7 linked regions of the Rattus norvegicus genome follow. The protein of the gene in region 1 purifies or fractionates together with the protein of each later gene. This does not show direct contact. Links are inferred from orthologs where the notes say so. Each region holds a gene or a part of one and is shown in the gene's direction. Other genes may lie near its edges.

Region 1 (3,930 bases):
GAGGAGACAGAGATCATTGAAGGTGAGGTGGTGGAGATCCAGATTGATCGGCCAGCCACAGGCACGGTGAGTCTCTGAGGCTTCATTGTCCCAACACCTATGTCACCCATGCTCCTGGCTAAGGCGCCTCCAGCCAAAAGGCAAAGGTGGGGCCAGTGGAGGTCGTCACGGGACCAATGGAGGGTGTCAGTGACTGGTCAAGTATCACAGGACCAGTGGGGGGTGTCACGGGGCTAATGGAGATTTTCTTATGAAATGAGAAGCGAGGAAACAAGTGTATGGGCTGATGAGTTACCGTGGACACCTGGATCCAAACTCCCTTCTTCCAGAACTCTTCTGAGGCCCTCCCGAGTGAGCTGCCTCTCAAATTTCCCACTTCCGGTGTCAGCCAGTCATGTCTGTCAGGTACTTGGGGGTTTTTTCTGCCTGGTCATGGGGAGTTTCTGTTTCTTTTTTACTGTGCTGGGTTAAACCTAAGGCCCACTGTATGTTAAGCAAGCTGCCCAGTTGTTTTGTTTCGTCTGAGGTTCAGCCCCAGAGCCCAGTGATGGAAGAAAAGAATTAACCCCTCACTAGGTGGCCCTTGACCTATATTTGTGCACGTACCCATGTATGTAAATAAAAATGTTCTTTATTTATAGAATAGATAGCCTAGTAGGTTTGTCTCATCCTGTTTTACAGTTGGTCTGAAATCTCATCTCTGAGAACTGAGGTGAGATTGCACCAGGCTGATGCATTGAAACTAGAGGCTCTGGGAGCCTCTTATAGGAGTTGCTGGGGTGGGATCTGGGGCCTGCAGGAGCCATGTGAGCCCTCCACAGCCAAGCTCTTTTTTTTTTTTTTTTTAAAGATTTATTTATTTATTTAATATGAGTACACTGTAACTGTCCTCAGACACACCAGAAGAGGGGCATCTGACCCCATTACAGATGGTTGTGAGCCACCATGTGGTTGCTGGGATTTGAACTCAGGACCTCTGGAATAGCAGTCAGTGCTCTTAACCACTGAGCCATCTCTCCAGCCCCTAAAATAAATAAATCTTTTTTTAAAAGACTTATTTCATGTATATGAGTACACTGTCACTGTCTTCATGCACACACAAGAAAAGGGGATCAGATCTCCATTACAGATGGTTGTGAGCCATCATGTGGTTGCTGGGAGTTGAACTCAGGACTTCTGGAAGAGCAGTCAGTGCTCTTAACTGCTGAGCCATCTCTCCAGCCCCAAAATAAAGAAATCTTAAAAAAAATAATAATAATTTTGTGTTGCAGCTGCGCTTGGTGGGACACGCCTTTTAAGACCAGCACTTGGGAGTCAGAGGCAGGTAGATCTCCCAGTTTGAGGACAGCCTGGTCTACAAAGGAAATTCTAGGACAGCCAAAACTACACAAAGAAACTTTGTCTTGTATAAAACAAAAACCAAACCCCACCTGTATGTGGTGTCTGAGGAAGGGTCTGCCTCCTGAGTGCTGGGATTAAAGGAGGGAGCCGCCAAACCCAGCCTGGTGTGCACGTGTATGTTGTATGGGAACTGGTTGACACGGGCAGAGACTAGATGTTGGGTTTCCTGCTTTGTCACAGGGTTTTATATCTTTGAGACAGGGTCTCTTTCTGAACCTGGAGCTAGGCTGGCAGCCAGACTTTCCAGTGATCCTTTCTTCATCCCCAACTGCTGGGCTTAACAGGCCTGCCTGCATGTGGCTGTGCCTGGTGGTGGTAGTGGTGATAGTGATGATGGGACACCAGTGCTGCCATCCAAATTTAGGTCCTCATGCTTGCACAGTGAGTGCTCTTCTCTGCTGAGCCATCTCTAGTCCTCACCAGGATTTCCTTCCTTCCTTCCTTCCTTCCTTCCTTCCTTCCTTCCTTCCTTCCTTTTTTTTCCTTTCTTTTTTTCTTTTTTTTTTAGGATACAGCATCTCATGTAGTCTAGACAGGCTTTGACCTTGTTGTATAACTAAGGATGGCTTTGAATTTCTGTGCCCCACCTCTTGAGGGCCTTGCCTTGCCCAGTTTGTGTGGTGCTAGGAAGGATCCCAGGGTCTTGTGTGTGATAGGCAAGCTGCTACCCACTCCCTCTTTCCTAACCCTGTTGTGTTTGAGTTGAATCTCACAGCCCGGTTGCCTTCAGTGTCCTGAGTTCTGGAATTACAGGTGTGGACCAGTACTCAATTTGTTTGTGTTTTGAGATCATCTTTTTTTTTTTTCTTTTTTTAAAATAGGCCACTCATACTGGCTGGTGGTCCTCCACCTCCCACTTCTTAGTGCTCAGATAATAGGATTTACAACCACAACCAGTTTATTTTTTGTTGTTAATGGAACTGGATTTAGCCTAGGCATGCAGCTGCCCAGTGACTTTAATAGTTGAAAATAAAGTTCTAAATTAGTTCAATCTATTAGTAACTCAATTTCAGATTTTATAAATATGGTAAGAATATTGTGGGTAAATCTTTTCCCAAGAAATGTCTATAAGATGTGCGCGTGTGTGAATTTTTTCTTTAGAGGCTCAGTGGTTAAGAGCCTGTGCTGCTCTTCAGAGGACCCAGGCTCACTGCCACCTGTAACAATATTTCCAGGGTTCCAGTACCTTCCTCTGCCTTTTGTGGGTACCTGTGCTCACATGCACAGAGCCACATACAGCCACTCATACGTGCTTGAAGTTAAAAAGAATAAAAATATTAAGATATATATGTGGGGTTGGGGATTTAGCTCAGTGGTAGAGCGCTTGCCTAGGAAGCGCAAGGCCCTGGGTTCGGTCCCCAGCTCCGAAAAAAAGAGGAAAAAAAAAAAAGATATATATGTACAGATAACCCCAGCTGCCCTTTAATTCCTCCTTTTACCCTGACTCCTACTGGGACTGAGAGGAGAAAATCATTTGGGAGAGGATCCAGAAACAGAAAACTGACTTCTGGAGTGTTCCTGAGTATATCAAGAGTGCTTACATTGGGAGAGGGATGTGTGGGCTTTGTTTGCATTTAATTAATGTTTTATAAAAGGTTATTTTCATTTGTTTTTGCATTTGCTTAGTGTGTATAGAGGTCAGAGGACAAATTATGGGAGTGGGTTCTTTTACTGTGTGGGTCCCAAAATCATTAGGATTGGTTTCAAGTGCTATACCCATTTGGACGGCCCAATTTAATTGTCTTTTTATTTACTGCTTTAATTTTTGTAATTAACAAAAACGTTATTTTTCTACGGGGGCGCAGATACTCAGGAGGCAGAGTGAGGCAGTCTCTGGACCACCCTGGGTAATAAAGTGAGGCTTTGTGAGGATGCACAGTCAGTGGTAGAGGGCCAGCTTGCCTAGAATTGACATGAGAGAGCGGGGTGTGCCTTGGAGGTACAGTGCTGGGCCCAGGGTTCTAGAAAAGAACAAAACCAAAATGCCTTTCCTTTGGATGTGAAGAGCTGTCTTGTGGGCTTATGGTGACACAGCAGCCCACACACGTTAGGAGGGTGCAGCCTAAGTGCTGGCACCCGAGTAACCACCTCCCAATGCCATCCCCTTCATGAGCTGCCTGGGCCACACCAATTTTGAAGCTATGGCCACAAAGGGGTGATGTCCTCTGAACATTTACTGGTGTGTCACCCTCAGGGATCCAAGGTGGGCAAACTGACTCTCAAGACCACGGAGATGGAGACCATCTACGATCTGGGTACCAAGATGATCGAGTCCCTGACCAAGGACAAGGTCCAGGCCGGGTGAGCCACGGGACCACAAAGAGGCTGGGCAGTGAGGGGAGTGGAACCCTCTTACTCTTTGCTGTTGCTCCTTCAGGGACGTGATCACCATCGACAAGGCCACTGGCAAGATTTCCAAGCTGGGCCGCTCTTTCACACGTGCCCGAGACTATGATGCCATGGGCTCCCAGGTGCTTGGCTCATCCCCAACCCAGCACTGGAGTGTTTCTCCATCTTCTGTTATGTCAT
Region 2 (4,537 bases), on another chromosome or scaffold:
TTGGTTATGTATATTTTCACAACTTAACTACCTTGGTCTAGGTGACAGCATTTTTTATATTCTTTACCAGTTAACTGACAATTAAGAAAACATGTAGATTTGGGATAGGTGTGCGTTCCTAGGCCTGAGTACACGAATCTGTTTGACCCTCTCAGCAAGATGGAGGACTCTTGAGATGGCTGGACTCAAGACAGCTGTCTCCTTACAAGTTGTTCCCGAGAAGTCTAAACTCAGACACCTGCTTAAGACAAAAGCTCTTCAGCTGTAGGGAAGTCCCCAGCTCCCCTAGTGCGTGGGGCCTTGAATTTTGTTTCTCCTTATGATTTAAATGGAGTCTGAAAATGAAATGGTAGTGCTTACAAATGTTTCTTTTCCTTGTTCCCAGCAAAACCATGAGCACTGGGTCCCAGGGCCAGGGAGAGAGGAGGAATGGGATTTATCATTCAATGGTTTTATTTCAGCTTTTTAAAAAAATTAAGGGTTTGTTTTGATGCTGGAGACCAAACTTAGGGCTCCCTTCACAACTTCACCACTTAGCTACCACCAGGAACAATTTTCATTTTGACATGACAATGTTCCAAAGGCTTGTTGTATATATAGCAATATAAACAGCATTTATGATACTGCTGGGTTTTGTGTTTACCATTGAATAGTGAACTAAGCTCGGTCTGCTCATCCAGACCTTAAATTCAAGCTATTTAGGAGGCTAGAAAGAGCCAGGAGGACTTTTGAGTACTAGGCCAAGAAGAATAACTCGGTGAGACTTCAACAAGCAACAAACTAAGGCAAGCATAGTAAACGGGTGCCTGTAGATTTAAGTGCAAGGAAACTGAAACTGGCAAAATTGTGAATTTGAGGCCAACTTGGGCCAGCCGGTTAAACAAAAAAAAATTTTTTTAAAGAAGCTGGGTGTGGTGGCTCCCACCTATAATTTGGCGTTTGTAAGTTACAAATTATGGCAGGATTGCCACAAAGTCAGGGCCACAGAAACCTCCCCAAACAAAAACAAAAATAGAATAACGACAAAGGCCTCGTATCACCTTCACGCTTGCGTTTGCTTAGCTTAACCTAGCTGGGCTGACGCTTACTAGTAGTAAGGAAGGAGACCTTTTGGCTGGACTCGGACACGTGCAATCCTAGCGGTCCGCCCAGGCAGTGTGGTGTCCCCGCCCCCCGCCTGGGGCCCGCCCCCGCTTCCGGTCCCCGTGGGCTGGAGGCTTCAGCTGCAGGCAGGAGCTCCCGCCACGCACCGCCCCACCCTCCTAAGTCACCGCCCACCTCCGAGTTTCCGTCAATTGCCGCCTTGACCCCGCCCCTTCCCCGTGCCTTTCTATATCCGGGCTTTTCCACTCCCAGTGCCTGAGAAGCATGGCGCTCCGTGGTGAGCACGCGAGTGGTCCTGGGGTTTCTTCGTCTTCTGTGGACTGCTCGCGGATCACGGTGTCCAGGGAGCTACTGACGGCGGGGAGCGAGGGTTCGCGAGGTGAGCGGCGGCGAAGAGCGGGGTGGGCTGGCGGGACCGGGGACGCTGCGGGGTCGAAGACGCTGCAGGACCTGGAACGCTGCGGGAGGTTGGGAACGCTCCCGGGACCAGGGACGCCGCGGGGTTCAGGGACACTAAGGCGCCCAAGACTGCAAGGGGTCGGGTCTCTGCGAGGACCGGGGACACCAGGAGGCCCGAGACGCTGCGGGGGTCGGGGATGCCGCGGAGTCCCGGACGCTAAGGGGGCGGGGACTCTGCCGGTGTCAGGGATGACCGGGCCAGTCGTGGTGGGTACAACTAGGCCAGTCCGGACCTGGGAGGTTCTTCATGAACTCTACAAGGACTACCTGGTCTGGACCGGCTTGGAAGGTAAAGAGCAGACAATACCATTTTTATTATTTTTTGATTTGGGTACAAACTCCTTAGTGTGGCCTTGGCGGAGGGAGACCTGTGTGCGGGGAAATCCACTCAGCATTTCCGCTAGTGTCACATCTCATTAATTCCAGCACTTGGGAGGCAGTGGCAGTGGGATTTCTTGAGTTCGAGACCAGTCTGGTCCACATAGGACGTTCTAGAACAGCCACAAGTATAATGTAGTGAGACCCTGTTTCAAAAAAACAATTCTCAAAAAAAACCAATCTGTGTTGTCCTGGTTCTGAAACTTGCTCTGTTAGACCAGGCTGGCCTGCCTCTGCCTCTGAGTGCTGAAATTAAAGCATTTCTAACTTTAAACTTGAAGACTAAGTTTTGCTAATTCTGTTGTTTAAAGTTGTGGATTGTGCATCCCTGGTGTCTTACGAGGTCAGAAAGTGATCTTTTGTAACTGGAGTTACAGTCCAGTATGAGTCCCCACGTGGGTGCGTGGTCTCAAACCCTGGCCTCTGCAAGGGCAATTAGTGCTTGACAGTTCTATTGTGTAGTCCTGGCTGCCCTAGAGCTCCAGAGATCACTTGTCTGCCTTTTGAGTGCCCCACCATGCCCAGCCCCCCAACCTCTTTTGTTAACTCAGAAGATAGAATCCAGTGTGTATTTGAGTACTACAGGTGGGTGAGAGATGGCCAGAGAGAGGAGAGATGGATGTATATATAGACAGGGGTGTTTGCTCCTTCTCTGTCAGTGTGTGGAATGGTCCAGACTGTAGGTAGTCCTAAGGGCTGTGCTGATGGCCCCTCTCTCACTGTTAATCTATCATTTCTGAGTTGCACTTGTGGCTCAGGGCTGTTTTATGCCGTTAATTGTGTGTGGTTTCAGGTGTCTGGGACCAGCTGCTTATCAACTCTAAGCCTCATTCCAGAAAGGCCTCTACCCTTCAAACAGTTCGGGTACAAAGGAGCCCTTGTAAGTACCTCCTTTCTACTCTAGAGGACACTCCCCTGATTAAGGCTAGTTAATCCATTTTGTGATGGGATAGCCTGTCTTCATGGCTCATACTAAACCAGAGAGTCAAATACATTGTGTAAACCATTTTCTGAGGAATAGAATTTTTCATGTTCATCACCTCCCTTCAATTTTTTTCTGAATGAAAGGTATTTTTGAAACTTCAAAAGGTCCAGCTAGTTACTTAAGATCTTTTTTTTTCCCCCTTTTGAGACAGGGTCTCATGTAGTCCAGGTTGGCCTCAGGCTTCACTGTGTAGCTGAGAAGGACCCTGAACTCCAGATTCTCCTACCTCACCCAATTCTAGAATGAGTTACGTGCTGCCATGCCAAGTCTGTTTTTTTCCTCCCCTCTGACAAGTCTCTTACCCCTGGCTGGCCTGGAACTCTGCCTCCCCCTCCCAAGAAGTGGGTTAAAGGTGTGTGCCACCACACCTGGCAGGTATTTACTCCAGGAGATTGCTCAGAACAGGTGCTTGTTGAGCAAACATGAGGACCAGGGTTCAAATCCTTGGAACCCACTTGAGCTGTGTGGCTTCATGAACCCATAACTCTTAATACTCTGGGAAGCATTAAAGGACTCTCAAACTGACCTCTGAAATGTCACAAGCCAGACCTCCATCTGCATTGCTCTCAACATTCTTCTCCTCCAAGCTCTCTACAGAATGGCCCAGCCCAAAGTTCTTCTACAATCTTAAAAGCACAGTCGGGTCTCTGCCACAGCAGTACCCCATGACTGCAGTACCCATTTCTGTCCTAGTTAGGGTTTGTTTTGCTGTGATAAAACACCAAAGACCAAGGCAAATTTGGGGTGGGGGGTGGTTTATTCGGCCTACACTTACACGTCACTGTATTACTGAAGGAAGTCAGAACAGGAACTCAGCAGGGCAGGAACCTGGCGGCAGGAGCTGATGCAGAGGCCATGGGGGGTGCTGCTTACTGGCTTGCTCAGCCTGCTTGCCTGTAGAACCCAAGAGCACCAGCCCAGGGATGGCATCACCCTCAATAGGCCAGGCCCTCCCTTCCCATCAATCAGTAATTAATTAAATGTCCTACAGCCGGGTCTTGCAGAGGCATTTCCTCAGTTGAGGTTCTCTCAGATTCTGGCTGGTACCAGCATGGTGGTGAGATTGAATGCATTAGTTAGAACTCTGAATTGCCTAAGAGCAAAAGCTCTGATTGCTTTAAGAGAAACCAGAGTTAGAAACTAAAAGTTGTATCTGGATCCCAATGCTCATTTTCTCCATGTGCTGCCGGTCTCTGCTCTGCTCTCTCGGTGTTAGACTAACCTGAAGGTGCTGCTTTACAGCTGTGGCAATCAGCTGCTTTATTGGAGGTTCCAGGTGAACATCCTCTCAGTGGTATTCTCCTCAGCTCTCAAGTTGACTGATTACTGGCTTGGCTTGGCTTGGCTAGGACATCACGTCAGATTACACCACAGGGCAGATTGTGATAGGCAAGACTGCAGAAACATAGGCCTGTTCAGGATGAGGAACATTAGTGACCCAAGCTTCAAAGGGAGGACAGGCATGGTCCTCTGCAGGACTCGGGAGCCAGCCCAAGGTATGAACATAGAGAATTTATAATTACATAGCAAGCCTGTTCCCCTTTTCATTTTTGTTTGTCTTTAAGAAGGCTGGTGTTAACCTTTTCAGATGAAAGTTGGGCAGTTGGGCAG
Region 3 (3,634 bases), about 110 Mb from region 1:
TACAAAACTAGAGATTGAGCCAGGAATAGCACAGGGGAGACAGATGGATCTGAGTTTGAGATCAGTGGTCTACATAGTTAAACCATAGCTACACAATGAAAATTAGCCATGGCTGGGCTGTAGTGGACTTGAATCCCAGCACTCAATCCCAGGCAGGGAGGCCTCTGAGTTTGAGGACAATCTGGTCTACAGAGTGAGTTCCAGAACAGCCAGGGATAGACAGGAACTTTTAACTTAAAATACCGGAAAAGAGGATAACATTTGAAACTTAAAAATATCCAATAAAAAAAAAAATAGTTAAGTGTGGTGCTGTACTGGGGTGGGGAATTGGCATTGTTTTCAGAAGAATGTCCCTAGAAAAAGCTTAGTGTGTGCCTCCTGTCATTCCAGTACTGGAGAGGTGGAGGCAGGAAGATAAATTCAAAAGCATCCCCTGCTATACAGGTAGTTTGAGGGCAGCCTGAGCTTCAGACCTTGTCTCAGGAAGCAAAAAAAAAAAAAAAAAAAAAAAAGCAAAGAAATCCTTAGAAGGTTACAGACGTCTAAGAGATGTGATTAATGAGACTGAAAAGGAGAGCTGATCTGAACTACAGAAATTTGACAATGTGACAAGTGGTCATTGAAGGTACAGATTCTACAGGCTTTGCCAGATAGCTTTCTGGTTTGTGTTGGTCCATTTTCCAGTATGACTGGACACTAATACAGTATTTCCGTCACAGGCATACCCTCCAGATAATCCACTAAGGCCTACCTCTCAATAGGCCTCATAATATTTAACAATGCAAACAATTTCAATACCGTCGGAGGGATGTTTTCCCTATTTGTATTGCTTTGCTGTGCTTTTGTTATTTGAGACAGGGTCTCAGGTAGGCCCAGGCTGGCCTTAATTTGATATGCTTGCCTGTTATGTATTTTGAGCTCCAGATTTGTTAAAAATGCCTGGTTTATTTATTTTTTTAAATTTATTTTATGTATATGAGTACTCTGTAGTCTTCAGACGCACCAGAAGAGGGCATCAGATCCCATTACAGATGGCTGTGAGCCACCATGTGGTTTGCTCACCATGTGGGAATTGAACTCAGGACCTCTGGAAGAGCAGTCAGTGTTTTTTTGTTTGTTTGTTTGTTTTTTTGTTCTTTGTTTCGGAGCTGGGGACCGAACCCAGGGCTTTGCGCTTCCTAGGCAAGCGCTCTACCACTGAGCTAAATCCCCAACCCCGCAGTCAGTGTATCTTAACCACCAAGCTATCTCTCCAGCCCCCTATTCATTTATTTTTGTCTGTTGTTGTTAGTAATATTTTGCTGGCCTTGTTTGTTTGTTTCCAAGATAGGGCATCACTATGTAGCTCTGACTATCCTGGGATGCACATGAACTCACAGAAATCAGCCTACCTTTGACAACCCGGTGCTGGAATTAAAGGTGAGAACAGCTACGCCCTGCTAAGACCCTGGTGTTTTTTGTTTGGTGGTGGTGCTTGGTTTTGTTATTTAAAAGATAGTTTATTTTTGCACAATTTGGTACAACCACAAAGAACAAACTGGGATTAGCGACACAGTTTTTCAGAATTCGGCGAGCCAACGTGTTGGGAAGAGCTTGGGCGACTTCTACGCTTGCCCAACGAGCTACTCTGGAGAGTTACTGAGAAGTCCCAGAAATGTGCCGAAAGGAAGCTTCCCCCGCCCTCCACGCACACAAAAGCGGAAATAACCAAAGAAGCGCCGGAAGTGGCGGAACTGGTACAGGACAAGCGGCACCAGTTTCCATGGAGCCCGCGGGGCTCTGCGGCTTCTGCCCGGCCGGGGAAGCGGTACCAGCGCGCTACACCTGCCCTCGCTGCAACGCTCCCTACTGCTCGCTCCGCTGCTACCGGGCTCACGGCGCCTGCGCCGAAGACTTTTACCGCGACCAAGTGCTAAGAGAGCTCCGCGGCCGAAACGCTTCGCCCAGTCGTCTGGCGGGCGCATTACGCCGGCTGCGTGAACAACGCGAGGCCGAGGATGAGCCCGAGGAAACAGGCCTCCGGCCCGGCACGCGGCCGGGCGGTCTTTCTGGACTTTGGGAACGTTTAGCGCCGGCTGAGAAGGCGGCATTCGAGCGGCTACTGAGCCGTGGCGAAGCCGGACGCCTCCTGCCTCCGTGGCGGCCCTGGTGGTGGGGCCGCGGCACCGGCCCACGTTTTCTGGAGGAGCTGGATGATGACGCGAGTAGAGATCTTGCGGAGCCGGAGCTACTCCCTGCGAGGACCGGGTTGGAGTCCGTGGATGATGCCGCTGCCGCTGGGGAGCCACTTGCTGAAGACTCCAGTGTCGCCAGACCGCCCGCAATGCCTGCCCGCATCCCAGCACTGGCCAGTCTGAGCCGCAGCCCTACCTCGCCACTGGTGCGCTTCCAGCTGCCCAATGTGCTGTTCGCCTATGCTCACACTCTCGCCCTATATCATGGAGGGGACGACGACGCGCTACTCTCTGACTTCTGTGCTACTCTGCTCGATGTTTCTGGGGCCCTGGGAACCCAGCAAGTCTTTCACTCTACAGAGGAAGCCCTGCAGGCCGCAGCCCACGTTCTGGAAGCGGGCGAGCACCCACCTGGGCCCCTGGGTACACGGGGTGCTATGCAGGAAGTTGCCCGAATCCTTCTGGGCGAGGGTCCTATCAATCAGAAAGGCTACACGCTGATAGCATTGGGGCACCTGGCTCAGACCCTGGGTCGAGCCCGGAAACAGGCTGTGGTTGGTGAAGAGCGAGATCGCCTTTACCGGGCTCGGAAGAAGTGCCAGTTCCTGCTGGCTTGGACCAATGAAAACGAGGCTGCTCTCACACCCCTGGCTCTAGACTGTGCCAGAGCCCACCGAGCCCATGCTGTGACAGTTGAGGAGATGGCAACCCTTACTGGGGAGCTAGAACGGCTTTGGGGAGGCCCAGTACCACCTGCACCAAGGATTCTCATTGAGGAGCTTCCTGGCTGAGCTGGGCATCCATGTCATTACATTAATAAAGATGTGTCTGCTCTGCCCAAATGTTGGCAGTGCCTTTCTTTATAGATGGTGCCCTGTCGTAAGCTTCTTTTGAAGTTACTGTATAGTTGAAGATGACCTTGAACTTCTGATCTGCTTCCCACCCCGACAGTGGGAGGTTACAGGTGTTAGCTACCTTGCGGATATGCAGTGCTGGATAGCAAAGGCTTCCTGTGTGCTACACAGGCACTCTATAACTGAACTACATCCCCAGGCCTGAAGTGCCCCTTTCTGAGGGTAACCAATTGTCTCACTCAGGCTTTTGGACCCACAAACCACTTTTAAGCTTTCATTAGTCAGCTAGTCATCCCCAAGCCTCAAGTCACTGACCCCAGGATAGAAGAAAAACAGCAAAGGTTGAAAACATTTATTCAACAGGGAAAAATTTCCTTCTGGGAGCAGTGGCTCCCTCTTGCTTTCAACGTTCTTGTTTTCAACGTGCTGAGCATCCCTGCCGAGTAGAACTGGTTCTGCTTCAGTAGACATACGGTATGATTCGGTAAGGCACGCGCTTGCAGTATTCCTGCCAGGCACGGCCATACTTTCGCAGGCACTGCTGCTCATCTCGGGCCTCGCGGTGCACCAGCAGTGCAGTGAAGTAGAGCAGGTAGAAGTAGGGCA
Region 4 (4,654 bases), on another chromosome or scaffold:
ACAGAGAGAACTGGCTAGAATGGATGAGGCTGAGGGTTACACAAGGGAAACCCTCCACAGTCCCCTGTTGTGAGCATTATCTGGTTGCAGGCCTGAGTGAGGGGCAAGTGGAGGGCCAGGACTGGATTCAAAGCTTGCGGTAGCCAGCAGATGGCTCTTATCAATACCCCAGAGTTCAGAGCTACAGTGGCCCCATAGCACAGAGAAGAACGTGGTCTTACAAAGGTTCTTGACATCTTAGTCACACAGCTGAGAGACATCAGTCAGGAAAGGGATTCTGATGCCTGCCCGTGGCTGAGGGTCAGGTGAGTAAAAAAGCTTGGATGGGTGGCAGGGTAGGGGTCATGGTACAGCTGACTGGGGTGACTCAGACCAGTAGGGACCATGTTCTTAAGGCTGCTGTGCCTAGCACTTGACCCTACCCAATCCCATGTAGAGATACTAACACCTGCCTGAAATTCTGACAGCCTCCACTGTAGGGACAAGATGGGGGTGGTAAGGCCAACAGGGCCCAGGTTTCTGTCTTTTGATGCCAATGAAGCACTTAATTCTGAAACTGTCATTTGCACCCAGGCCAGGGCTACTAAATGTGGTTGTTGGGTTTTAAAGTCTTTAATTATGGTGTGTGTGTGTGTGTGTGTGTGTGTGTGTGTGCGCGTGCGTGCGCGCGCGCGCGCGCATGCGTGCAAAAGTGTGAGTATACCATGGTATACATATAAAGGTTAGATACAACTTAAAAAAAAACTTATTTATATGAATACACTGTAGCTATCTTCAGACACACCAGAAGAGGGCATCAGATTCCATTATAGATGGTCTAGATGGTCGTGAGCCACCATGTGGTTGCGGGGAATTGAACTCAGGACCTCTGAAAGAGCAGTTATCATTCTGCCAAGCCATCTCTCCAGCCCTAGAGTAGAACTCTTAAGAATTGCTTCTCTCCTGCCCCCTCTAGGATCCAGGGGTGGAGCTCCAGTTACCAAGTCTGTGCACAAGAATCTCTATGGACGGACCATCTCACTAGCCCCTGGGTTTTTTGTTTGTTTGTTTGTTGTTTTTTAGCTATTTTTTCTTAAACAGTTTTCGTGATGTGTAATTTACATACTGCACAATTTATCACTGGCAAAGGGAGACACACTTCTAGCTGTGCAGCCTGAGTCTTTTCCAAGTTATCTACTCAGGTGAAGCCCAGATTTTTTTTGGGCCGTGTGTGTCATGCTATGCCGAATTGGCTGACTCAGAACTCAGAGAGATCCGCTCGCCTCTCCCTCTCTGAAGGCCCAGCTGGTGCATTTTTAAAGCATGAGGTTTGTTCCTGCTCCTCTCGGGACAGAGTCGTAGGCAGTAAAAGGGCCAACCACCAGGAGTCGCTGCTGCACCGGAAGCCAGCCTTCGTTGCGCCTGCGCGGACCCGGGCACGCGGCGTTCCCGAGCCCTGCGAGTGCGCGCCCTCCACACCAAGTGCGCCTGCGCGGAGCCTGTAGTAGCCTTTCTCGCGCCGGGCGCTCGTCGCTCGCCGGCGGCCATGGGGGAGGCCGAGGTAGGCGGCACGGGCGCCCCAGGCGATAAGGGCCCAGGCGAGGCAGCCCCGAGCCCTGCTGAGGAGACGGTGGTGTGGAGCCCTGAAGTGGAAGTGTGCCTCTTCCACGCCATGCTGGGCCACAAGCCTGTCGGTGAGCGCCGCGCCGCGCACCGGCGTGGGGGTGGGGCGGGATAAACCGTCGGGCGGGCTGGCGGAGCCTGCGACCCCGCACGGGCGGGACCTCCCACTCTGGGGTGCCCTGTTAGTCCAAGAGACCATGACTTTCCTTCCCGAGAAGCCCTCTCCCAGGGGACACTCCTGACTTCCCTGCCCTTGAGACAGTCCTACCCCAGGGAACGCCTCCATTCTCCCCGCCTCTGCAGCCCCTCTGCCCAGGACCCGCCTACTATACACCCTAACCACCTGCCTTGTGGCACCCTTCGTCCCCTTTGACACTTGACTCCTGCAACACTTGCACCTGTGGTTTGCACACTCCTGCCCCTCCTACACCCATGTCCTCTGCACAGAGGTGCTATCCTAACCCTCAACCCACTGTCCTGCCTCTCAGGGGTGAATCGACACTTCCACATGATTTGTATCCGAGACAAGTTCAGCCAGAATATTGGGCGCCAGGTTCCATCCAAGGTGATCTGGGACCATTTGAGCACTATGTACGACATGCAGGCACTGGTGAGTGGACCCTGGCCCACTCATTTGGGGGCTGAAGGTGGAGTCAAGTCCCGGATGCTGCCTTCCCAGAGTCCTCTGTGGTACAGGACAGAGCCCTCTTCTCACTTGGGGTTTGGTATGCAAAGATCTCAAAAGATGAGGCTCCTTCCTCAATCCTGCCTTGAAAAGCACAAACTAGGGATTCACTAACCACTTTCTCAGGACACCTACTTTAGATTGGTGGCACAAAGTGTCAAGGAGATAGTTGGGCGCTGAGATGATAGAGAAGCCTCAGCCACCGTAAAAGGCAGTAATAGGGTGCAGTGTCGGTATTGGGGTCCTTTGAGAATCTGTATACTGTGGGAGCTAGACTGTTCCTCTTCTGAGAGCAGAGAGGGTAGCTAGGTAACTGGTTTGGAGAGCTGGCAGTGTCTGACTCGTGTGTAGGTAACTAGTAACCTTGCTAGTCAGGTTTGTCTGCAGTGTCTGGCAGGCAGTGAGACTACGTAACCAGGATGGGTGGGGCTGTAGGGGCCTGTGGTTGGTCATGGCGCCCCTGGATACATTGTCCTGGTGGGAGTGTTACAATGGTGAACAGGTCAGGTCCTTGTGAGCACATCAGGGGAGCTGCTATGACTCCAGGGCTCTCTCGGTGGCATGAACCTGGTCCTCTCCTCTGGTTTGGTTTGGCTGGTGCTAGCCTGGCCCTCCCTAGTCATCTGAGAAGCCCAGCTGAGGTGGACTCTGCAAGCTGGAGCAAGGAGCCCCACCAGCTCGCAGCCTCCAGCCTGCTCCTCCGTACAGCTTAGTGAGCGGAGACCCTGTTTTCTGTTTCTTGAAAATACAAAACGCTTTGTGCCGGCAGCACGAGTCTGAGATTCTGCCATTCCCAAATCCAGAGAGGAACTTTGTCCTTCCCGATGAGATCATTCAGGAAGTCCGAGAAGGTGAGACTCAGCCACCACCAGGGCTGGGAATAAAAAAAGCCTCACCAGGCCAAAGGTGGGGAGGTCTGGGGCCTCCAGGGAGGTGTAAGGACCCTGCTCAGACCACGCCTCCAGTGGCGCCTGGGAGGTTTGGGGAGCCGAGGGCTGGGGCGAGCGGTGCTCAAAGGCAGTCTCCTGATGGATGCCGTCTTACGATGGACGCCGAGGCCTGTGTGGGCAGCGAGAGTCGGAAGCAGTCCTGGCCAGACCGTCCCCCAGCGCTGGCCACCACCGTGGGTTTCCAGTGAACGGCAGCTGTCTCCTCCACAGGAAAAGTGGTCATTGAAGAAGAAATGAAGGAGGAGATGAAGGAGGATGTGGACCCCCACAGTGGGGCTGATGACGGTGAGTGGAAGTGCCTTCTGGAGCCGTCACCACCACGGGCCAGCCTCAGGCAGAGTGAGGTCAGGAAGCTGAGAGTCAGGAGCGAAGCATCCCTTTCAGATGAACTCAGTGTGGGAGGGCCTCTGAGAGCCATGAGGAAGGGGCCGAGGCCAAGGCTGGGGGCCTCTGAGAGCCATGAGGAAGGGGCCGAGGCCAAGGCTGGGGGCATTGGGTGGGCTTAGACAGGAGACCCCCTGAGAGACTCGGTTTCTCTTCGAGCCCAGCTGTACAGGGCACTTACCCGGGGAACATACTGGGTCCGAACGCCTGGTTTCTCTAGCTGAAGAGGAAAATGAGATGAGTTTCTGGATATTCTGTTTTCAGCCAAATGATTTTGTTTCCCAGTTTTTTCATCTTCAGGGAGCTTGGGGAAAGCATTAGAAAAATCCAGCAAAGACAAAGAGAAGAACTCCTCAGACTTGGGGTGCAAAGAAGGGGCAGACAAGCGGAAGCGCAGCCGGGTCACTGACAAGGTCCTGACTGCCAACAGCAATCCCTCCAGCCCCAGTGCTGCCAAGAGGCGCCGCACATAGACACCTCAGCCCCAGGTGGCCAAGAGATGCTCCAGCTGCCTGTCCTCAGGTCCCTGGGTGAATGTGGCCATCCAGCAGAGATGCTAGTGGGGCTTCCGCTGTGTCATCAGACCTCCAGAGCACTTGATTGGTCCAAAAGGCCAGCAAGACCGGTGTCCACTCTGCTGGATGGTGAAGCCTCTGAGCCAGCCTCTTGCTTTCTCCTGGTCAGTTCCCTTATGCCCACAGTGTGTGGAGAAGAGCAGGTGCGTGGGCCAGAGGACCAAGAGTCAGCAAGCAATAAGACGTCACCCTCACTGTCCTCAGGAGCCAGGCATCCTCCCTGGGTGCCCAGTCTTTGCATCTGCTTTTCCTGTAAGACTCCATTGTGCACTGGCATCCAGAGAAGGTGTCTTTGGAGTTCACACAGCACACACTGTGCACAGAAGGCCTCCCCCATCTGGGAAATAGAACTGGATATTTTGCCTCATTCACTTGTACTGTAATAGTGTATATAATTTAGTTGGTATTTCACTATTTAATTTTTAAGAAGCCTATTTTACTAGTGTTTTGTATGAAGA
Region 5 (3,930 bases), on another chromosome or scaffold:
GAGGATAAGGGCACCTGCTATTGTTGCAGAGGGTCCTGGTTCAGTTCCAGAACTCACCTTGCCCCTACAGCTATCCATATATAACTCCACTTCTAGAGCTCACCTTGCCCCTACAGCTATCCGTATATAACTCCAGTTCCAGAGGACCTGGGTCCCTGTTTTGGCTTCAGCAGGCACTAGGCATTTATACAGTGTACTTAACATACACTCATATATATAAAATAAACCTTAAAAGAATTACCATTGGTTTTTAAATATTATTTTGTTCTGATTTTAGTATTTATTTGAGAGATGGTCTTGGAGTATAGCCCTGTCTGACTGGAAACTTACTGTGCAGCACATCTGGCCTCACATTCATGGCAGTTCTCATGCTTCTGCTTTGCAAATGTTAGGATTACAGATGTGAGCTGCCATTGTCTGGTTTAGTAATGATTTATGTTTGAGAACTTGTGGTGATCTTCTATGCGGAAAGTAATTCATAGGACTAAGGATGGAGCTCAGTTTACAGAATTGCTTGCATGGTGTACACAAAGCCCCAGATGTGATCCCAGTGTGGATGCACCTGTAATTCAAGCACTTGGGAGGTGAAGGCTGGGGTATCAGAAGCATAGAATTATCCTAGGCTACCTAGCGAGTTGAGGCCAGCTCTGCCTACACAAGACCCAAATCACATTCTTAGCATTGTTTTTTTTTTTCTTAATCAAAAATTATTCTGTATATGTGTGTATTTATGAGAGCTCATTTTACAAGTCACATACGGCTGTAGAAGACAACTTGTGAGAGTCATTTCTCTCCTGCCACCACGTGAGTCCCAGGGACTGAACTCAGATTGTTAGACTTTCGAGCAGTCTCACCTTCCTCCCTTTTGTTCTTTTTTTTTTTTTTTTTTTTTTTTTTTGTTCTTTTTTTTTTGGAGCTGGGGACCGAACCCAGGGCCTTGCGCTTCCTAGGCAAGCGCTCTACCACTGAGCTAAATCCCCAACCCCCTCCCTTTTGTTCTTGACAGGGTCTCATACAAGCTAAGCTGGTCTCAAACTTTGTATGTAGCCAAGGATGACCTTGAACTCATGATTCAACTTCCTCTATCTCAGGCACTGGGATTGTAGACATGTGTCAGCATGCCCAGTTGGTTTTAAGTGGGTTTTGTTTTTTATTATTTGAACTTAGCTTTTTGGCCTCCTTTATCTTTTGTTTTAGTGTCTTTTTTTTTTTTTTTAAGATTTATTCATTTATTATATATAAGTACACTGTAGCTGCCTTCAGATACACCAGAAGAGGGCACCAGATCTCTTTACAGATGGTTGTGAGCCACCATGTGGTTGCTGGGAATTGAACTCATGACTTCTGGAAGAGCAGTCGGGTGCTCTTAACCGCTGAGCCATCTCTCCAGCCCTGTTTTAGTGTCTTAATTGGACAACTCTTCTTTTTTTTTCTTTTTTTTTTTTTTTTTCGGAGCTGGGGACTGAACCCAGGGCCTTGCGCTTGCTAGGCAAGCGCTCTACCACTGAGCTAAATCCCCAACCCCGGACAAGACTCTTATTGGAAGAATAGCTTTATTTAATTTTATGCATTGTTTTGGGGATAGGGTTTTACTTTTGTTGTCAGGGTATCCGGAATGCACTGCGTAACCCAGGCATGGCAGTTCTCCCGCTTCAACTTTCCAAGTGTTGAGACTGCTAAAGAAAGGCTTTAGGCATCTTTTTCTTTTCTTATTTTTAGTTTAATTTTTTACTTACTTTATATCCTGCTCACTGACCCCCTTCCGGTAACTCCCTCCCATTTAGGCAACTTTTAAAAACATAATATAATAGAATAAATAGATAGTATGGGAAACAGGAGAGTCATTTGATATTAAGAAGTGTAAACTTTAGACATGATACTGATCCATGTTCTTAACCTTTCTAACTAACACAAGTGACCAAGAAGAAGAAGAAGAAACAACACAGGATTCCAACAAACGATGAGCTGCTCTATGATCCCGAGAAAGATAGCAGAGACCAGGCCTGGGTAGATGCAAAGAGGAGGGGGTAAGAATTTAAGTCTATATTTAGAATCTTTAGAGAAAGCCAGAGTTATTTTTCATTGCTTTCCTGTTTGACTGTATGTGTCTTTGTTTTCATACAAATACATCAAAAAAGTTCGAGGATTGAAACTTGAATACTTGGGCTGGAGAGATAGTTCAGTGGTTAAGAGCACTGGCTGCTCTTCCAGAAGTCCTGAGTTCAATTCCCAGCAGCCACATGGTGGCTCACAACCATCTGTAATGGGATCTAATGCCCTCTTCTGGTGTGTCTGAAGACAGCTACAGTGTACTCATATAAAATAAATCTTTTTTAAAAATTAAAAAAAAAAACCTTGAATATTTTATATGAAAATAACCAGCAAATTTTAGTTAAACAGTTTTTATCTGTCTCTCTGTTTTTGAGACAAGATCTCTCTATGTAGTCGTGGCTGTCCTGGAATTTGCTCTATAGACCGGGCTGGCCTTGAACTCCCTCTGCCTCTTTAGTGCTGGGATCAAAGGTGTGCGCCACCACCACCTGGCTGAATTTTTATTTGTTTTTAAAAAGATTATCGTGTAACCCAGACTGGCTTCAAACCTTAATATGTTCTTGGGGCTGGCCTTAAACTCTTGCCTCTACTTTCCAAATGCTGTCTGAAGTTTCAGGTGTGTCACCACAGCAATTAATTGTTGCGTTATTAATGAGTCTAAACTGTTAAGAGTTTCTTCATTTAAGAAATAAAAGAACGTTTTTATTGTTCTTGTGAGACAGGGTCTTGTTATGTTCTCCTTATGTATGCTGCCTTGGCTAACTTACAGCAGCCCTGCCTCAACCTAAGTGCTGGGATTGTAGGTGTGTGCTGTGCCATCATGCCTGGCCTTTCCTCTTGCCCCTACTCTCTGGTACTAAGATTGAATTTAGGCTCTTGAGTATGCTGGGCAAGCGATGTCACTGAGGTGCATCCTTAACCCTCATGTTGCTTTTTAAAACAAGGTTTGATTACTCTGTAGCCCAGTGGACCTGGAATTTGTAGTCCTCCTACCTCAGCCACCTGGGAAGCAGGGACTGTTATAAAACTAAAGTTTCAGTAGTTGGTTGGTTGGTTTTATTGGTCTTTGAAAATTAACTTTTTCCAAATAGATACGCTAAACTTTTTTTTAAAGTTTTTTTGTTTGTTTGTTGGGATAAGGTTTCTCCTAGACTGACCTTGAAGTCCCAGGGCTATTCTGCCTCAGCCTCCCAAGTGCTGGAATTATGACTGTACACTACTATGTTTATTTTATAGTTTTAAATCATTTTGAGTTTAGGGTTTTAGTATCTAAATTGTTAATTTTATTTTTAGCTATCCTAGAACTCTGCTGACCAGGCTGGCTTTGAATATGCAGAGATCCGTCCACCTCTGCCTCCCAAGTGGTTCTTTGCTCTTGTTTTGTAATCCCAAGTACTGGGGTTAACGACTCGTGTCACCTTGCAGGCCCAAGAACAAAATGCTTCTGAGTTTGTCCACACTGTAGCACAGTACTTCTTCTTATGGCTGCACAATGTCATCGTATGTGTGTCCACCAGGAGAAGTTTGTTCTGTCTGCCTTTTGACTGTCAGGAATAGTGTTGTCAACACTGATGTGCACGTACTGGCTTGAGCCCCCACTTCTGCTTTTGTTACAAACCTAGGAGGAGTGTGGTGGAAGCTTGTGGTAATTCTTTGTTATAACCTTTCCTGTGCACTCGTGTGTGGTGCTAGATATGGAATGTATGCTGTTATACACGCTAGGCGATATGGAATGTATGCTGTTATACACGCTAGGCGATATGGAATGTATGCTGTTATACATGCTAGGCGACATGAAATGTATGCAGTTATACACGCTAGGCGGATACCAAGCTGCTGAGCTGTACCCTCAGGGCCTAGGAGGCTTTGCTTCAGTTC
Region 6 (3,930 bases), on another chromosome or scaffold:
AGAAAGGATGGAGCTGGGAAACGGAAAACTGCCCAGGACAGGACTGAACTCACTGAATCAAGCAGTACATCCAACCCAGGGCCTGGCGTGGACCGACGGGAATCGGGTAGTCCTGACTGATTTACAGCTTCATAGCGGAGAGGCCAAGTTCGGGGACTCCCAAGTCATTGGAAGTTTTGAATCTGTCTGCGGGGTTTCCTGGGCCCCTGTCAGCACAGTGCACGTGCCCTCTCTGCTTGCGGTCCAGCACAGAAAGCTTGTCTCGGTTTGGCAGCTGTGTCCCAGCACTATAGGATCAAGCAAATGGCAGATGTGTCAGACCTCTGAGATCAGAGAGTCACTCCCTATCCTTCCTCAGGGCTGCATGTGGCACCCAAAAGACCCTGTCCTGACCGTGTTGACTGCACGGGATGTCTCCATTTTCCCTAACGTCCACCAAGATGGCGGTCCCAGGGTAAAAGTGGACATCAACACCAGGGGCCGCGTTTACTGTGCTTGTTGGACCCTGGATGGCCAGAGGCTGGTGGTGGCAGTAGACAGCAGCCTCCATTCTTACATTTGGGACAGTTCTCAGAAGTCTCTTCATAGCTGCTCCTTCTGCCCAGTGTTTCCTGTGCACTGTTGCATCCGCACCATCACAGCCACGGGGAACTCACAGGTCGCTGTGGCCACCGAACTTCCACTCCATAAGCTTTGTAGCTTAAATGCATCCGACGCCTTTGGCGGCCCCCCGAATGGTGAAGATGGTGCTGTACATCCTCATCCTGTGGGTGTGAGTGAAACGCCCCCTGTAGATGAGCAGGAAGCCGCTGCAGAAATGAATTCTGGAGCAGCAGTTTCTCCCTTGTCAGTTCCTCTGGATCTGACTCACATACATTTCAACCGATCTGGAGCCGAGCAGAGGTCTCTTATTTGTTTAAGAAAAAAGGACTACTTGACTGGAACTGGCCAAGATTCTTCACATTTGATCCTGGTAACCTTTAAGAAAGCAGTGACCATGACAAAAAAGGTCGCTATTCCAGGCATTCTGGTTCCTGACATAATAGCATTTACCCTGACAGCACAGCTAGTGGCTGTGGCTTCCAATACGTGCAACGTAATTTTGATCTATTCTGTCGCTCCATCTTCTATGCCAAATATTCAGCAAATTCAGTTAGAGAGTAACGAAAGACCAAAAGGTGTATGTTTCTTGACAGACAGATTATTATTAATTACTGTAGGGAAACAGAAGCCCACAGAAACAGCCTTTCTCCCTTCTTCAGAATCTGATCAGTATACTGTTTATCTGACAGTTAGAGAAATAACTCTGGGAAGAGAATCTTCTGGAACATCTGCTGAAAGTCAGGGTGCTTATGCTGATATCAATGCTCTATTAAATAAAGCAGATAGAGAAGAAAAGTTCACCGAGAGCCTTTCCCCATGCGTGAGTCCCCTGAGCCAAGGACTCTTGCTAACAGCTAACTCCAGTACTCAGAGTGGGAGGTCTGGAAAAGCCCTTATTCAAGAAATTAAAAGTCCCTTGTCCCCTCTGTCCAGTGATTCCATTGTCCATGAAGTCTGTCACAGGCCCTCCTGGCTTTGCACAGCATTGCCTAGACCCAGCAGGACCCCAGATCACACCAGCACCCCAGAAGTGAATTCACCTGCAACGGAGAACTTACAAAAGGAAACTTGCCCACTTTCCAGAGAGCTGGGGAGTCTGTCTAGGCACCTGGTTGGAATGCAGCAGTATCTTTTTGAAATCAAGGATTTTCTACACAAGGAGAAGCGAGTCTCTCCCGCGTACCCACCTTCTCACGACCCTCCCTATGTTCACCTCATTTACCAGGTAACATCTCTTTTGAGGAACTTTCACTATGCAGGAAGCTCTTGCATCCTGTCTGTCCTGCCAGAAACACTCAGGGGAGGGCGGGGAGGGCTTTGAGTGGAGCTCAGTGACCTGCGTCTGACAATTCCTTTGCACAATTAGATGGGCATTAGCCTACCAAAAGTGCTCACACCAGGGTTTAGCGAGATTTTATCATATCCTTGGTGTGGAAATCAATGACTACACTCCGTTGACTTATATTTAGGGAGAAAATAGGGTTAATTGTGTCTATTCATTTCAAAAACTGTGTGTGTGTGTTATCATTTAAAATGTTTTTAAAGATTTATTTATTTTATGTATATGAGTACACTGTAGCTGTCTACTAACACAGCAGAAGATTCCCATTTCAGATGGTTGTAAGCCTTAAAATGTTTTAAGGCAGGAGAGATGGCTCAGCTGTTAAGAGGACTGACTGCTCTTTCAGAGGACTGGGGTTCAATTCCCAGCGCCCACATGGCAGCTCACAACAGTCTATATTTGCAAGATCTGATATTCTCACACAGACACACAGACATACATGCAGGCAAAACACCAATGCACACATAAAATATGTTTTGAATGCATCCTTATATGTGCAGATGTAAGTACATCACACTTTTTTAAAGGTTTATTTATTTATTATATATGAATACACTGTAGCTGTCTTCAGACACACCAGAAGAGGGCGCCAGATCCCATTACAGATGGTTGTGAGCCAGCATGTGGTTGCTGGGAATTGAACTCGGGACCTCTGGAAGAGCAGTCAGTGCTCTTAACCACTGAGCCACCTCTCCACATATTTTTTTTTTTTTTTAATCATGGACACTTCTTTTCACATTGTGTCTGGCTCTGTTCTGTCATGTTCACTTTTCAACTAGCAGCCATGTGGCTCCTCCCACGTTTGCCTCCATACACATAAACTCTAACACAGATCCTTGTGTAACACGTAAAGTGTGTGTGTGTGTGTGTGTGTGTGTGTGTGTGTGTGTGTGTAGTGTGCTGTCACTGCTTGCCACAGTGGAGTCATGGGGTGCACTGTACCTCAGGGTGAGCATGCATATTTACGCAGCCTCATTTTCAGTTGGGTACCTCAGATGGTGCTGAAAGAGTGTATTTATTCACTTGATGTAGTGCCTTTATTTATTTTTGTTGGATTGGTTTCAAGAGGAGAAGTGCAAATTCAAAGAGTGTACTTCTACAATATTTTTTGTTTATTTTTGTAGCTTAGGCTAGCCTCTCAAGGATGCCATTGAACTTGTTCAATGTGTATGTGTGTGTGTTCATGGGAGTCGTGTGTGTGTGTGTGTGTGTGTGTGTGCACATTGTGTCTGGAGGGAAGGTTTCCGCTTGACCAGGTTTCTCACTGAACCTGGCTCTCACTGAATGGCCAGTGAGTTCCAGGTCACTGGTCTCCACTCTGGCCAGCACCTACCCTGCTTTTCTTCTCTGTTTTTCCATTTAACTCTGACTCTACTGCTTTTGTGGCAGGTACACTTCTGCCTAAACCATCTCCCCAGACTAAGACCCTGAGCTTCTTATCCTTCTGCCTTCACCCTGAAGTGCTGTGGTTATAGGTGTGCACCCCAAGACCTGGTTTTATGCCGTGCTGGGGACCAACTCAGTCTTGTGTGCACTAAACCAACCTCTACCATTTGAGGAGAATCGCCCATTTAATTCCATTTTCTACTTGTGTTTAAAAAGTTATTAGGAGCTGGAGAGGTGGCTGTTAAGAACATGAACTAGGCTGGGCATAGTGGCAGATTCCTTTAATTCCAGCACTTGAGAGGCAGAGGCAGGAGGATATCTGTGAGTTAGAGGCTGGTCTGGTCTACATAGTGAGTTCTAGGCCAGTTAGGCCTACATAGCGAAATCCTCTCTCAAAAAAGAAAAGAAAAGAAATCCCAAGGAAGAAAGGAAGGAAGGGAGGGAGGGAGGAAGGGAAGGAGAGAGAGAGAGAAAGAGAGAGAGAGAAGGAGAGAGAGGAGGAAGGGAGGACAGACCAACAGAAGGACATGTATTGCTATCCTAGATGACCAGAGTTTGGTTCCAGGCTGTCTTCTGACGTCTTCTGGTACTAGTGCACA
Region 7 (3,694 bases), on another chromosome or scaffold:
AAAGACAAATAATCAGGTTGCTCTTAAGGAAATGTTCTGAAACTGGTTTAGTTTGTTGGGGCAGTGGTGCAGGCTCTGGTTGTGTTTAATCTCTTGTTATTGTCCCTTATGTAGAGTAATTGAAATAACTCGTGTAGAAGTGAGTTTCAGTCGTCCTGTAAGTTGTAAGTTCCCACATAACTGTAGAAGCAGCTGTGTTGGCACTCAGTCTTCAGTAGAGTTACACTCTTCCAATGACTCAGCATGAGAAAGTGGCCTGATGTCATTCTGTAGCCTGTCACGTACGGTGCATATTACAAAGGCAGATTTCAACCCGATGCTTACCTTCCCTCTGTCCACAGTGCGTCATCCAAGATTTTCAAGCTTCCGTCCTTCAAGTGTCAGACTCCACCTATGACGAACAGTATGTTTTTGTCTAACTGTGTACTTCAGAAATAAGGGCTTTTGTTTATTACATATTAAATGGTTGTAGAATGTGTTAGCATTCTGAATCCTATGTTAGTATATTCTGAATACTGCTCTTAGGTATTTGTAGTTCTCAGAGATTGGTGGGTCCTCATAAGTGGATTGTGATTTTGAACAGAGTCGTTTTGCCTTCTGTGAAATACTCTTTACATTTGTAGAGTGGCTGCACAGATGCCCACTGTTCACTATGAATTCCCTAATGGCTACAACTGCGATTTTGGTGCAGAGCGGCTGAAAATTCCTGAAGGATTATTTGACCCTTCCAACGTAAAGGTGTGAAGAAAGCTACTTTCAGAATTGGTGTGGCTTTTTCCGTGTAGAGAATGTATGGGATAAAAAGCCTAAATAAGACTAAATTTGCCAGTAGGGGATTTCCATATGAACAGCTGTTCTTGTTCTAGGGACTATCTGGGAACACAATGCTGGGAGTCAGTCACGTTGTCACAACAAGTGTTGGAATGTGTGACATTGACATCAGACCAGTAAGTGCCAACCTCTACTTGTTACTGTCTCTTATAGCAATGAAGTACTCCAAATTAGGTTTGCAACTTTGGCCAGTGGCTTTTTTTTTTTTAATTTATTTATTATAGATGAGTACACTGTAGCTGTCTTCAGACACACTAGAAGAGGGTACTGTACCCCATTACAGATGGTTGTGAGCCACCATGTGGTTGCTGGGAATAGAACTCAGGACCTTTGGAAGAGCAGTCAGTGCTCTTAACCACTGAGCCATCTCTCCAGCCCCTGGCCAGTGGCTTTAAGGGCTGTTTTTAACCATGTGGAAAGAGATGGACAAACTGATTTGCAGTGCTACTGACCAGTCAGCTCAGTCCAGAATTGCACTAACTCTTCTGTGAATGTGATTTGTGGCTGCTGGACTGCACACAGCAGACTCTTAGAACACTTTCCCCTCACTAAATTTCTTTGGTTATTGCTACTCCAGATTTCCTAAAATATAGTAAATCAAGATACATAGAAATTGGTGAATTTTTTTTGACTTTTTTTTTTAAAGATTTATTTATTTATTATATATAAGTACACTGTAGCTGTCTTCAGATACACTAGAAGAGGGCATCGGATCTCTTTTACAGATGGTTGTGAGCCACCATGTGGTTGCCGGGAATCGAACTCACGACCTCTGGAAGAGCAGTCAGGTGCTCTTAACCGCTGAGCCATCTCTCCAGCCCTTTTTTTGACTTTTACTTGTAGTTTTTAGAAAAGTATGGTCTAGGGGGCTGGAGAGATGGCTCAGCGGTTAAGAGCACCCGACTGCTCTTCCAGAGGTTATGAGTTCAATTCCCAGCAACCACATGGTGGCTCACAACCATCTGTAAAGAGATCCGATGCCCTCTTCTGGTGTATCTGAAGACAGCTACAGTGTGTACTTATATATAATAAATAAATAAAATCTTTACAAAAAAAAAAAAAGAAGAAAAGTATGGTCTAAGCGTGCAACTTCTGCATGGATTGTATGATTTTTGTATTTGTTCTGCTATGTCAAGTTTTAAATTGTTGATACTATATTGACTTGATTATATAATATACTCATCTATATTAATAATTTATTAAGCTATAGATTTATTTCAGAACCCACATACTATCTTGGTTTTCAAGTTAATTTGCTTAAAGTATGATGTGAGTAGATATGAGTGTATAAACGCCATACTTAGAAAAGGCTGTTGAGTGACTACAAAGTAATTTCTTCTGAGTGACTTAGCAACCTATACCACTTCCAGGACAGTGGAAGTAATAGTTTAGAATTTAAAAAATACGTACATACACACACACACACACACACACACACACACACACACACACACACACAAATTGTGTGTGTGTTTTGTGGGGTTGAGTGTCTTTGTACCTTCACATGGATTCCAGGGATCCAGCTCATGTCCAAATGTGCATAGTGAGCACTTGTAGCACTGAGCTAATTTTCTGCTCTAACTGTTGGTGGTTTTTGTGCACGGTCCCTTAAGGACACAGAATTAAATACATTTGCAAGAGTGGAACTTTCTATTGAGATCATTTTCTGTTTATTTAATGTTGTTAGCAGATGGGACCCAATTTTTGCATTTTTCTGTTTTAAAATTTAGATGATCTAGATATTTGGTGTAGGTTTTAAAACTAAGAACATAGCCAGTTAAAAAGGCAGGCTGACATTTACATTTTGATAAATATATGCAAAGTAGAAGTAAATACATTCCCTATGAGTATGCAGTTGTTTTTATTTGGGAGTTCAGTCTGTGTTCTAAAAGAGTTGCAACATTTCTACAAAAGAGAAAGCATTTTGGTCAGGCATGTTTCAAAAGAGTATCATTATCTGTCATGATCATAAAACAATTTTGTCTAATTTAAAATACCATGACTTTCAGATGAACAAAGACAAATACCATTATAAAATGTACCTCTAATATTAGCAGCTGTCTGCCAATAAGAATTATGAGCTTAAGAATAATTGTTTTACATCATTTGCTCTAAGATGGCTCAGTACATAAAGGAGGTTGCCACCAAAGCCTGACAACCTGAGTTTGATTTCCAGAATCCACATGCTGGAAAAAGAGTCACCTCCCAGCAGTGTCTTCTAATGTCCACGTGAACGGTGGCGTGCTTACACACACACATAGATCAATGAAGAACGGTGAGGTTGGTAGGTGGCTCCAGCACCTGACAGTACTCCACAGTCGTTGGAAACATCTGAAAATGGTTCTCTTTCTCTCCTAGGGTCTCTATGGCAGTGTGATCGTAGCAGGAGGAAACACCTTAATACAGAGTTTCACGGATAGGTTAAATAGAGAGCTTTCTCAGAAAACTCCGCCGGTAAGTTTTTCTGTTCTTTGTGTTATTTAGTTGTGTCTATTTGTCTTAGGCAGGGTTTTACTGCTGCGAACAGACACCATGACGAAGGCAACTCTTACAAGGAGAACATTTAATTGGGGCTGGCTTACACGTTCAGAGGTTCAGTCCATTATCATCACAGGAGCATAGCAGCATCCAGGAAGGCATGGTGCAGGTGGAGCTGAGAGTTCTACACCTTCATCTGAAGGCTCGTAGGAGAAGACTGGCTTCTAGCTAGGGTGAGGGTCTTAAAGCTCATACACACAGTGACACACCTACTCCAACAAGGCCACACCTACTAATAGTGCCACGCCCTGGGCCAAGCTTATACAAACCATCACACCATTCTTACCTAGTGGAATTTAATAGCTAATTGTGTGCATGTGTTACT

Evidence for each region.
Region 2: the proteins of Ruvbl2 (region 1) and Nopchap1 purify together in Homo sapiens (affinity purification with mass spectrometry; 4 studies listed by BioGRID and IntAct, with this or other methods). This does not show direct contact. The link is inferred for Rattus norvegicus from reciprocal best matches to the Homo sapiens genes RUVBL2 and NOPCHAP1.
Region 3: the proteins of Ruvbl2 (region 1) and Znhit2 purify together in Homo sapiens (affinity purification with mass spectrometry; 5 studies listed by BioGRID and IntAct, counting the BioPlex papers as one, with this or other methods). This does not show direct contact. The link is inferred for Rattus norvegicus from reciprocal best matches to the Homo sapiens genes RUVBL2 and ZNHIT2.
Region 4: the proteins of Ruvbl2 (region 1) and Mrgbp purify together in Homo sapiens (co-immunoprecipitation; 5 studies listed by BioGRID and IntAct, counting the BioPlex papers as one, with this or other methods). This does not show direct contact. The link is inferred for Rattus norvegicus from reciprocal best matches to the Homo sapiens genes RUVBL2 and MRGBP.
Region 5: the proteins of Ruvbl2 (region 1) and Eapp purify together in Homo sapiens (affinity purification with mass spectrometry; 3 studies listed by BioGRID and IntAct, with this or other methods). This does not show direct contact. The link is inferred for Rattus norvegicus from reciprocal best matches to the Homo sapiens genes RUVBL2 and EAPP.
Region 6: the proteins of Ruvbl2 (region 1) and Wdcp purify together in Homo sapiens (affinity purification with mass spectrometry; 6 studies listed by BioGRID and IntAct, counting the BioPlex papers as one, with this or other methods). This does not show direct contact. The link is inferred for Rattus norvegicus from reciprocal best matches to the Homo sapiens genes RUVBL2 and WDCP.
Region 7: the proteins of Ruvbl2 (region 1) and Actl6a purify together in Homo sapiens (affinity purification with mass spectrometry; 11 studies listed by BioGRID and IntAct, with this or other methods). This does not show direct contact. The link is inferred for Rattus norvegicus from reciprocal best matches to the Homo sapiens genes RUVBL2 and ACTL6A.

What each region holds. Positions count from the first base shown.
Region 1 is NC_086019.1:105,041,599-105,045,528, reverse strand, and holds part of Ruvbl2 (ruvB-like 2), read left to right. Parts: coding exon 1-66; intron 67-3,595; coding exon 3,596-3,702; intron 3,703-3,778; coding exon 3,779-3,872; intron 3,873-3,930. UniProt on the Homo sapiens protein: Possesses single-stranded DNA-stimulated ATPase and ATP-dependent DNA helicase (5' to 3') activity; hexamerization is thought to be critical for ATP hydrolysis and adjacent subunits in the ring-like structure contribute to the ATPase activity.
Region 2 is NC_086025.1:22,243,968-22,248,504, reverse strand, and holds the start of Nopchap1 (NOP protein chaperone 1), read left to right. Parts: upstream 1-1,354; 5' UTR 1,355-1,368; coding exon 1,369-1,483; intron 1,484-2,734; coding exon 2,735-2,821; intron 2,822-4,537. UniProt on the Homo sapiens protein: Client-loading PAQosome/R2TP complex cofactor that selects NOP58 to promote box C/D small nucleolar ribonucleoprotein (snoRNP) assembly. Acts as a bridge between NOP58 and the R2TP complex via RUVBL1:RUVBL2.
Region 3 is NC_086019.1:212,781,852-212,785,485, forward strand, and holds Znhit2 (zinc finger HIT domain-containing protein 2), read left to right. Parts: upstream 1-1,732; 5' UTR 1,733-1,762; coding exon 1,763-2,965; 3' UTR 2,966-3,014; downstream 3,015-3,634. Other genes in the region: delta(14)-sterol reductase TM7SF2, read right to left, coding at 3,489-3,634. UniProt on the Homo sapiens protein: May act as a bridging factor mediating the interaction between the R2TP/Prefoldin-like (R2TP/PFDL) complex and U5 small nuclear ribonucleoprotein (U5 snRNP).
Region 4 is NC_086021.1:188,073,256-188,077,909, forward strand, and holds the start of Mrgbp (MRG/MORF4L-binding protein), read left to right. Parts: upstream 1-1,499; 5' UTR 1,500-1,525; coding exon 1,526-1,673; intron 1,674-2,090; coding exon 2,091-2,212; intron 2,213-3,056; coding exon 3,057-3,138; coding exon of another isoform or gene 3,139-3,447; coding exon 3,448-3,522; coding exon of another isoform or gene 3,523-3,743; exon of another isoform or gene 3,744-3,906; coding exon 3,907-4,094; 3' UTR 4,095-4,654.
Region 5 is NC_086024.1:77,915,083-77,919,012, reverse strand, and holds part of Eapp (E2F-associated phosphoprotein), read left to right. Parts: intron 1-1,915; coding exon 1,916-2,027; intron 2,028-2,034; exon of another isoform or gene 2,035-3,930. UniProt on the Homo sapiens protein: May play an important role in the fine-tuning of both major E2F1 activities, the regulation of the cell-cycle and the induction of apoptosis. Promotes S-phase entry, and inhibits p14(ARP) expression.
Region 6 is NC_086024.1:33,576,591-33,580,520, forward strand, and holds part of Wdcp (WD repeat and coiled-coil-containing protein), read left to right. Parts: 5' UTR 1-7; coding exon 8-1,828; intron 1,829-3,930.
Region 7 is NC_086020.1:117,430,408-117,434,101, forward strand, and holds part of Actl6a (actin-like protein 6A), read left to right. Parts: intron 1-341; coding exon 342-403; intron 404-623; coding exon 624-738; intron 739-866; coding exon 867-947; intron 948-3,189; coding exon 3,190-3,285; intron 3,286-3,694.